Linked DNA regions of Cricetulus griseus. The protein of the gene in region 2 interacts with the protein of the main gene of each other region in a pairwise test. Links are inferred from orthologs where the notes say so. Each region holds a gene or a part of one and is shown on either strand. Other genes may lie near its edges.

What was found.
Region 1: the proteins of Rbm41 (region 2) and Hnrnpc interact in binary tests that used the Homo sapiens proteins (3 or more experiments, as listed by UniProt). The two-hybrid records come from large-scale screens. The link is inferred for Cricetulus griseus from reciprocal best matches to the Homo sapiens genes RBM41 and HNRNPC.

Annotation. Positions count from the first base shown.
Region 1 is NW_023276807.1:207,152,597-207,156,251, reverse strand, and holds part of Hnrnpc (heterogeneous nuclear ribonucleoproteins C1/C2), read left to right. Parts: intron 1-2,584; coding exon 2,585-2,699; intron 2,700-3,236; coding exon 3,237-3,284; intron 3,285-3,655. UniProt on the Homo sapiens protein: Binds pre-mRNA and nucleates the assembly of 40S hnRNP particles. Interacts with poly-U tracts in the 3'-UTR or 5'-UTR of mRNA and modulates the stability and the level of translation of bound mRNA molecules. Single HNRNPC tetramers bind 230-240 nucleotides.
Region 2 is NC_048604.1:40,376,011-40,379,665, forward strand, and holds part of Rbm41 (RNA-binding protein 41), read left to right. Parts: intron 1-1,181; coding exon 1,182-1,585; intron 1,586-3,655. UniProt on the Homo sapiens protein: May bind RNA.

The sequences.
Region 1 (3,655 bases), on a different chromosome or scaffold from region 2:
CTGTGGCTTTGGAGGCTGCCCTGGAACAAGCTCTTGTAGACCAGGCTGGTTTCAAACTCAGTGATCTGCCTGCCTCTGTCTCCCTGGCTTAAACTTGTTTTTGTTTCTGTGTTAAGGGCTGGTGAGACAAGGTCTCTACATAGCCCTCTCTGTTCTGAGACTTAAACTATGTTGATCACACTGACCTCAAACTCAAATTATTATACTGGGATTAAAACTGTTTGCTAACATTTTGGCCTAAAAGCTTGTTTTTGTTTTTTGGAGTTTCTCTGTAGCTTTGGAGCCTATCCCATTTGTTGGACTTAATGCATTTTTTAAGGAAAAGCAAGCATATTATCTTTAATTAATCAACACTGAAGTTAACATACTGACCAGTTTGTAAGGATAGAAACATCCACTGCTGGTTTTCACAGAAATTACCACTGACAAGTGCCAGCTGTACTGGCCCTAAGTAGAGTGCTCCATCTACTGCAGATAATTCTGTACATGTACATACGGCTATATAGCAAAGAAATGAAACCAGCCTAGATATACATAAACGACTGGGTGATTAAATTTCATATTATGTTATATGATGTATTTGTATATTTAGAGAAATTATATTTAGCAATAAAGAAAAGCAAATGGGCTGGGTAAATGGCTAATCAATTAAGACCTGGTTCCTTTTCCAGAAGACCCAAGTTCCATTCTGGCACTCACATGGCAGCTCACAACTGTTTGTAACATAATAAGTTTTTAAAAAGCTCAAAAGAGAAACAAATCTAAAAATTACAGGAAAGGCCAGGCATGGTGGCATACACCTTTAATCCCAGCACTCTGGAGGAAGAGGCAGGCGGATCTCTGTGAATTCAAGGCCAGCCTGGTCTACAAGAGCCAAGTTCTAGGACAGCCTCCAAAGAGAAACCAAAAAAGAAAATGGGTAAATAAGTACTGAAGTGAAAAGACTAAGTGTTCTTTCCTATGTAATGTTCACACCTTTGTATATACGTAGGTGTATTGTGGGTAAAGACCAAAGAGCAAGAAAGGAGAGAGTAAAAGTGCTCGGGAAGGCAGGGAGGAGGATATACACACAGACTAGAGTTTCAATCACTTTGCAAATCCCCTGACTACTACTACTACTGATACTATGCTAATTAGGATATAATACCATTTCTATTTTGCTTGTTTTAAGTTTCGCAGCAGACTCTCTATGGACAATGACTAAATTCAGCATTATATTTAAGGGCTTTAAATTTTTTTTTTGCATTCCATTAGGAATATTGAATAAATACAGTAAGGTTGTCCGAAAGAATTCTTGATAGTTTAGTTCTACTGTTCTTATTTTACTAAGTATAATGAATTTTATTTAAAAAGGGGGGGAAGCTGGAGAGATGGCTCAGAGGTCCTGAGTTCAATTCCCAGCAACCACATGGTGGCTCACAACCATCCGTTATGAGTACTGGTGCTCTCTTCAGGAGTGCAGATATACATGGAAGCAGAATGTTGTATACAATAAAAATATGAATTTTTTTTTTTTTTAAGCAAGCACACATGGTTTGGAAGAGTTTAGCTAAAAACTCAGTGCCAATGTATCTACTTGTGCTCATCTGAAATTATCATTTGTGAAACTTGTTTTAGAGACCCAGTTTTGGTCTGGTATTTCATTTGTTTTGCTTCCCTTTAGGCTTATTTGTTAGAACTAGTGAGAAGAGTCGTTGTAGCTAGTGATAGAGAAAGTAAATCTTTGGATTAGTCCTTAAAAACTAGATTGTGTTTTAAAAGGTTTGCATTTGTTGACAATTTGCTAGAGTCCTCTTTTTCTGCTATATGGTTTCTGGGAACCAGTTTTAGTCATTGAGGCTTGTACATTAATCACTCAATGTCCCTTGATCTTACTGTCCCAATAGTGTGTCCTTAAATTTAAAGAAAAGTTGTTTTGTGTTTGTGCACATGGACACTTACTGGTCAGGATCTAACTTAGTACTTCTTTAGTAGGTTTTTCCCTTCTACCATGTGGAGCATGAGCATTGAGCTCAGTTGCCTGACTTAGAGCCGGTGCTATAACCATTGTGCTATCTTGCCAGATCTGTTTTGTACTTTGAAATTTGGATGTTTATTATTATTATGGATGGGTGGGTATATGTGTAGAAGTTGTCAGGGTACTTTTGTGTTTAGTAATGGCGTTGAGAATGACTTTAAGGGTATACATAAATTTCCACACTTATCTTTGCAGTTAGTGCAAGCTTTTTTTGTGAAAAATAATAGAAACATTATTGAAAAAATGACCAGTTAGTAGCTACTGATGTGATCCTTTAACTGTGTTAGTGCATGAGTAAAAAGTTAAGAAAGATGAATCAATTTTACAAATTGGAGAAAGAGTTAGGGATATGTAGCAAAGAAAAACTAATGTGAGGAGTTTTGGTTTCTAGCCATACAGGGTAGCTTTGTAAAACCTTTTAGTGAGGAAAGTTAATGTTACACATTAGGTAATAACTGTAGTCTGAATACAGGCTTGTTAGCTTTGCTGGGAAATAAAGCCCAGTCTTTTTGCCTTGAGTTCTTGTTTTTTAACCCCCCCCCCTTTTTGTTTTCCTTTTTTTTCCAGATATTAATCTGGCTGCAGAGCCAAAAGTGAACCGAGGAAAAGCAGGTGTCAAACGATCTGCAGCGGAGATGTACGGGTCAGTACCAGAACACCCTTCTCCGTCCCCTCTACTCAGGTCCGGAACTTTATTATTTATAACTGCATTGTGTCCATCAGTGGGCAACTTCTGTGTTTCTGGATGTGGGGAGGGTAGCGCGATGTGTTTTGTATGTGCAAAAGTGTAATGCTTATTAACGTGTGTTAACATACTTCCCCTTTGCCCCTATTTCCTTGCACTGAGATTTTGCTGTTTAACAATAATTTTATGTGTATGTATCATAAATTCAAGAGGAATTTGTTAGGTTCTAGAAAGCTTGGGAATAAGGAAGGGAGAAGGGATTGTGGTTTCAACAACTATTGTTTTCTTTTAGTGTTCTTGGTTTGGTTAATAAGTTACTTTGTTGAAATTTTTACATGAATTTACTAATTTGATCACTGCATGTCCAGTGGTCTAAGATAACAATGGAGCGCAAATGATTTGTTTGAATGAATGGTGATTCATTGCTAATCTTACTGATCTATTTGTTGTGGATTGTTTGGCCTGTTTTCACCCCATCTGCCTTTTGCCTTAACAGCAGCTCCAAAATCATCTTTTTTGTTATTTATTTTTCAGTTCCTCATTTGATTTGGACTATGACTTTCAGCGGGATTACTATGACAGGTATGTATAGTTTTGTTTCCTTTTTGGATATTATTTAAAAAGGCAGCTTAAGCTCATGTTTCCAACATGCTGCTTTCTACTCAGTTAAAACCTCTGTAGTAGGATGCTTGCTTATAAAGCATAACAATTAAAGACAAACCCTACTCCAGCTCTTGTGAATGGATTTGTGTAAATGTCTGCCTCATGTATTGAATGTCTACAGCCCTTGGAAGAAGGCTTATCATATAAGCTGTTTTTCCAGGCAGGTATGAGGTCCCATCATTAGTACTGAGATTGGAATGTGGGTCCTCTAGGGGTGTTCTCATTCCCTGAGCCATCTTCAACACCATAGCATGGAATTTTCATGAATGTAGAGGCCTTAAGTACCAGCT
Region 2 (3,655 bases):
TAAATTAATAGATGTAAACAGTAATTGCCAATGGATATAAAGTCCATTAGGTAAAAATTGAATAGGCGTACCGGTGTTAGTGGCACACGCCTTTAATCCCAGTACTCGGTAGGCAGAGGCAGGTGGATCTCTGTGAGTTCGAGACCAGCCTGGTCTCCAGAGTGAGTGCCAGGATAGGCTCCAAAGCTACACAGAGAAACCCTGTCTCAAAAAAAAAAATGAATAGGCATACATGATAATTGAGGGATATGACAAACACCAAATATGCCCAGTGAATATTATGTGCCTTTAGACATGGTACAATAGGAAATAAACAATTATATATGAATTTTTTGCTTTAAATATTGAACATGAATCTAATTAAATCTTTACAGAAACCATCATTAATTTAACTTTCTAGAATATTATAAATGATCTTTATCTGTTCTGGATAATCTGGAATATATATATATATATATATATATATATATATATATATTATTTGAAATGTACCAAATTTGACACAAACTGATAAAAAAAAGCATAACCAAGTGACCAATGACAACTGTATTAGACTAGACTTAAGTGTCAAAAAATACAAGAAATTTTGAACAAGTTATCATCAGAAAACATTTCATTAAATCAATTTGTTCACAAAACAGATAATGGTTGTATACTATCAATGGACAGAGGATAAAGGTTGATGAAGGGATGGGACAGAAAAATGATTTCAAAGTCATAACAGCCAAAACTGACTTATATCTTGATTAAATAAACAAGTATTGAAAAAGTCACTGGCATAATCAAGGTCATTCAAATATAAATTTGGAATTGGGTGGTACTTAGGAATTACTAAGTCCGTAAATATGGAAATGCCATCCTGGTTCTATTCTTCAGATGTCCTTGTGAGTTAGAGGTATGTATGTATACTTGCATGAACTTGAGGTTTCTTGGTGCCTTACTTTGCCATGTATTGGCCTTGCTCAAGATGCAGTTTTAAGATACATGCACATTCTCATGAACATGCATGTGTGTGTGTGTGTATGCACACACACACATACACACACACTTGCTACATGTTATAAAAACCTTTCCTAAAAGAGGTTCTGTATCTGAGATCCAAAATTTAATTTTTATTAATTTTTAAAAGGTTATACTGGGGAGGCTTTGTAGAACTTCCATATCTCTTTGTCTTGATCCAGATGAACCCCCAGAGAAGAACAAAGGTGATCCCATGAACAACCTGGAAGGTTTTTACCACGAGACTATAATGAAAAAGCGTCTTGAAGAGTTCCAACTTATGAGAGGTGAACCCTTTGCTTCCCACTCACTGGTCTCAGCTACATCAGTGGGTGATAGTGGCACAGCTGAGAACCCATCACTACTCCAGGACAAGGGAAAACAGGCAGCACAGGGTAAAGGCCCCAGTCTCCATGTGGCAAAAGTTATTGATTTTCTACCTGAGCAGTGTTGGACTGGGCCTAAGAAGCTGACGCAACCAATAGAATTTATCCCTGAAGATGAGATCCAGAGAAACCGTTTGTCAGAGGAGGAGATCCGAAACATCCCTATGTTTTCTGCATATAACCCAGGGGAACCGAACAAGGTATAGGCCAAATCAAGACCACAACATGAGTTGTTTTCACTTTATTTACCTCTACCTAATGGAACATTTTAAAATTACCTTTGATTATGCCAAAGATTATGACATAGCTATTTTGTTTGTCCTTAACCTTAACCATCATTTTCCACATACTATTAAGTAGCCTATTTCATACCATGTTCTGTGTGCCTTTCTTAGATCCTAAAGTCCCCTCAGCATTTTCAAATAATAATGAGATCTAGAAGCTCTGAATTATAGGAAAAGTAACCACCATGTCCCTAGTGATTGGCCACCCAGTTGTGGGTACCATTAACAGCACAACTCCTTAAAGCGTTAATTTTTGTCTTAATTTTAGAAAGCAGAATAAAGAATAATATTCCCTGATTTCAAAAAAAAAAGATGGATGAAGTGATACTGAAGTACTGTGAGTGACTTTCTGTTACGTTAGTCCTCTTCCCGGGGTAGCTCGACTTTCATTTACTTTACATTTGTCCTGAGCTGTTACTAACATGCCAAAGAGTAAATAGCCCATGAATAAGTTAGGGAGTATTTGTATACTTAGCTAGCCACGTTTACTAAGACTTAATATTTTTTCCTATTTTCTTAGTTTTAAAAATTAGTAAAGCTTTATGAATATAGCTGAAGAATTTCATGGATTCTTCATCAATCCCATTCTTCCTTCTTTCCAGGTTTAACCACTATTTCAAATTTTCTAGTTCTGTTCCCGTGGGTATTTTTATGCATTTACTACAGAAAACTGCATACAACTGTCCCTAACTAATAATAGCTAATTTTACTTTTGTTTACATGATTGTATGAGAAAATATGCATTTAGTGGAACCTATACTCTGGATTTTGAATTTTTATTTTTGTTAAGCTAGCAATATGCATTGTGGTGCTCTGGTACCTTATTGAGATGCTGGGCAGCCACAGTAACCTACATCTCACAGTCAGCCATATATCATGAGGATAAACCATTGACACTCCAGAGTATTAGGTTGCTAAGCTGCAGTGTTCCATAGATTACATATATTAAGTGCATTTCTGACTTAGGATATTTCAACTTAGAAAGAATTTATCAAGATATGACCCTATCTTAACCCAAGGTATATCTTAACTATCCATAAATATTCATAAATATCCATAAATACAGTTTCACACATTTGAAAACTATGTAGATGCTGTCATACTTTACATCTTTTTCTGGTACTATTTTGACTCAATATAGACTTTTAACTTTACCTAATAGTTTAGAAAGGTAATTTATTTTTAAATTTGCATATTCCTCATTTCCAGTAAAGATATACAAGTATTTTTAATTTATTAGCCCTTCTTCTACCCTCTGTGAGTTAGCTTTCTGTTCCTTTATCCATATTTTTATATTTTTGCCCTTTGTGTTTATTTATAATGATTATTTTTTCATTTTTTAAGATTTATTTTTATTGTGTGTGTCACATGTATGAGAAAAAGAACAAAGAAGAGAGTTATTTGGACTACTAGTTTCTGAATATTTTCTGAAATTAATAGCAGACTACTAGCCATATATCCAGGAATCTCAGAGAACATTAAGCAAGAAGAATGCCAAAAACTACATCTAAGCATAACATATTCAAACTATAGACAGGCAAGATAAAGGAAAAAGGAATAAATAGGATCAAAGAGAATGACATCAGCCTCATCACAAGGCAACACAAGCAAGAAGAGGATGGAATGAAATATTAAAGTTTATAGAGAAAAAAATTCCACCCATGTAGAAATCTATCCAGAAAACTTACCTTTTGGTACAGAGGAAACAGAATAACAGTTCTCAGATGAACAAACATGTAGAGATTTTGTCACAATAAAATTATTCTCCTAAGTTTAGGAAAATTAGATAACTTAATAATTCAGATCTATATATAGGAAAAACATAGAGGAAAAAATACACAAAGATAAAATAAAATTATTTTCTCATTCTGTAGAACAGAAGTGGAGGGAATACATTTTTGTGAGGTGAGACTTACCTTATTACAGAAACCAGTTAAAAATATTAGGATAAAAGAAAATTACAACCTCTTATCTGTCTTGTTCATA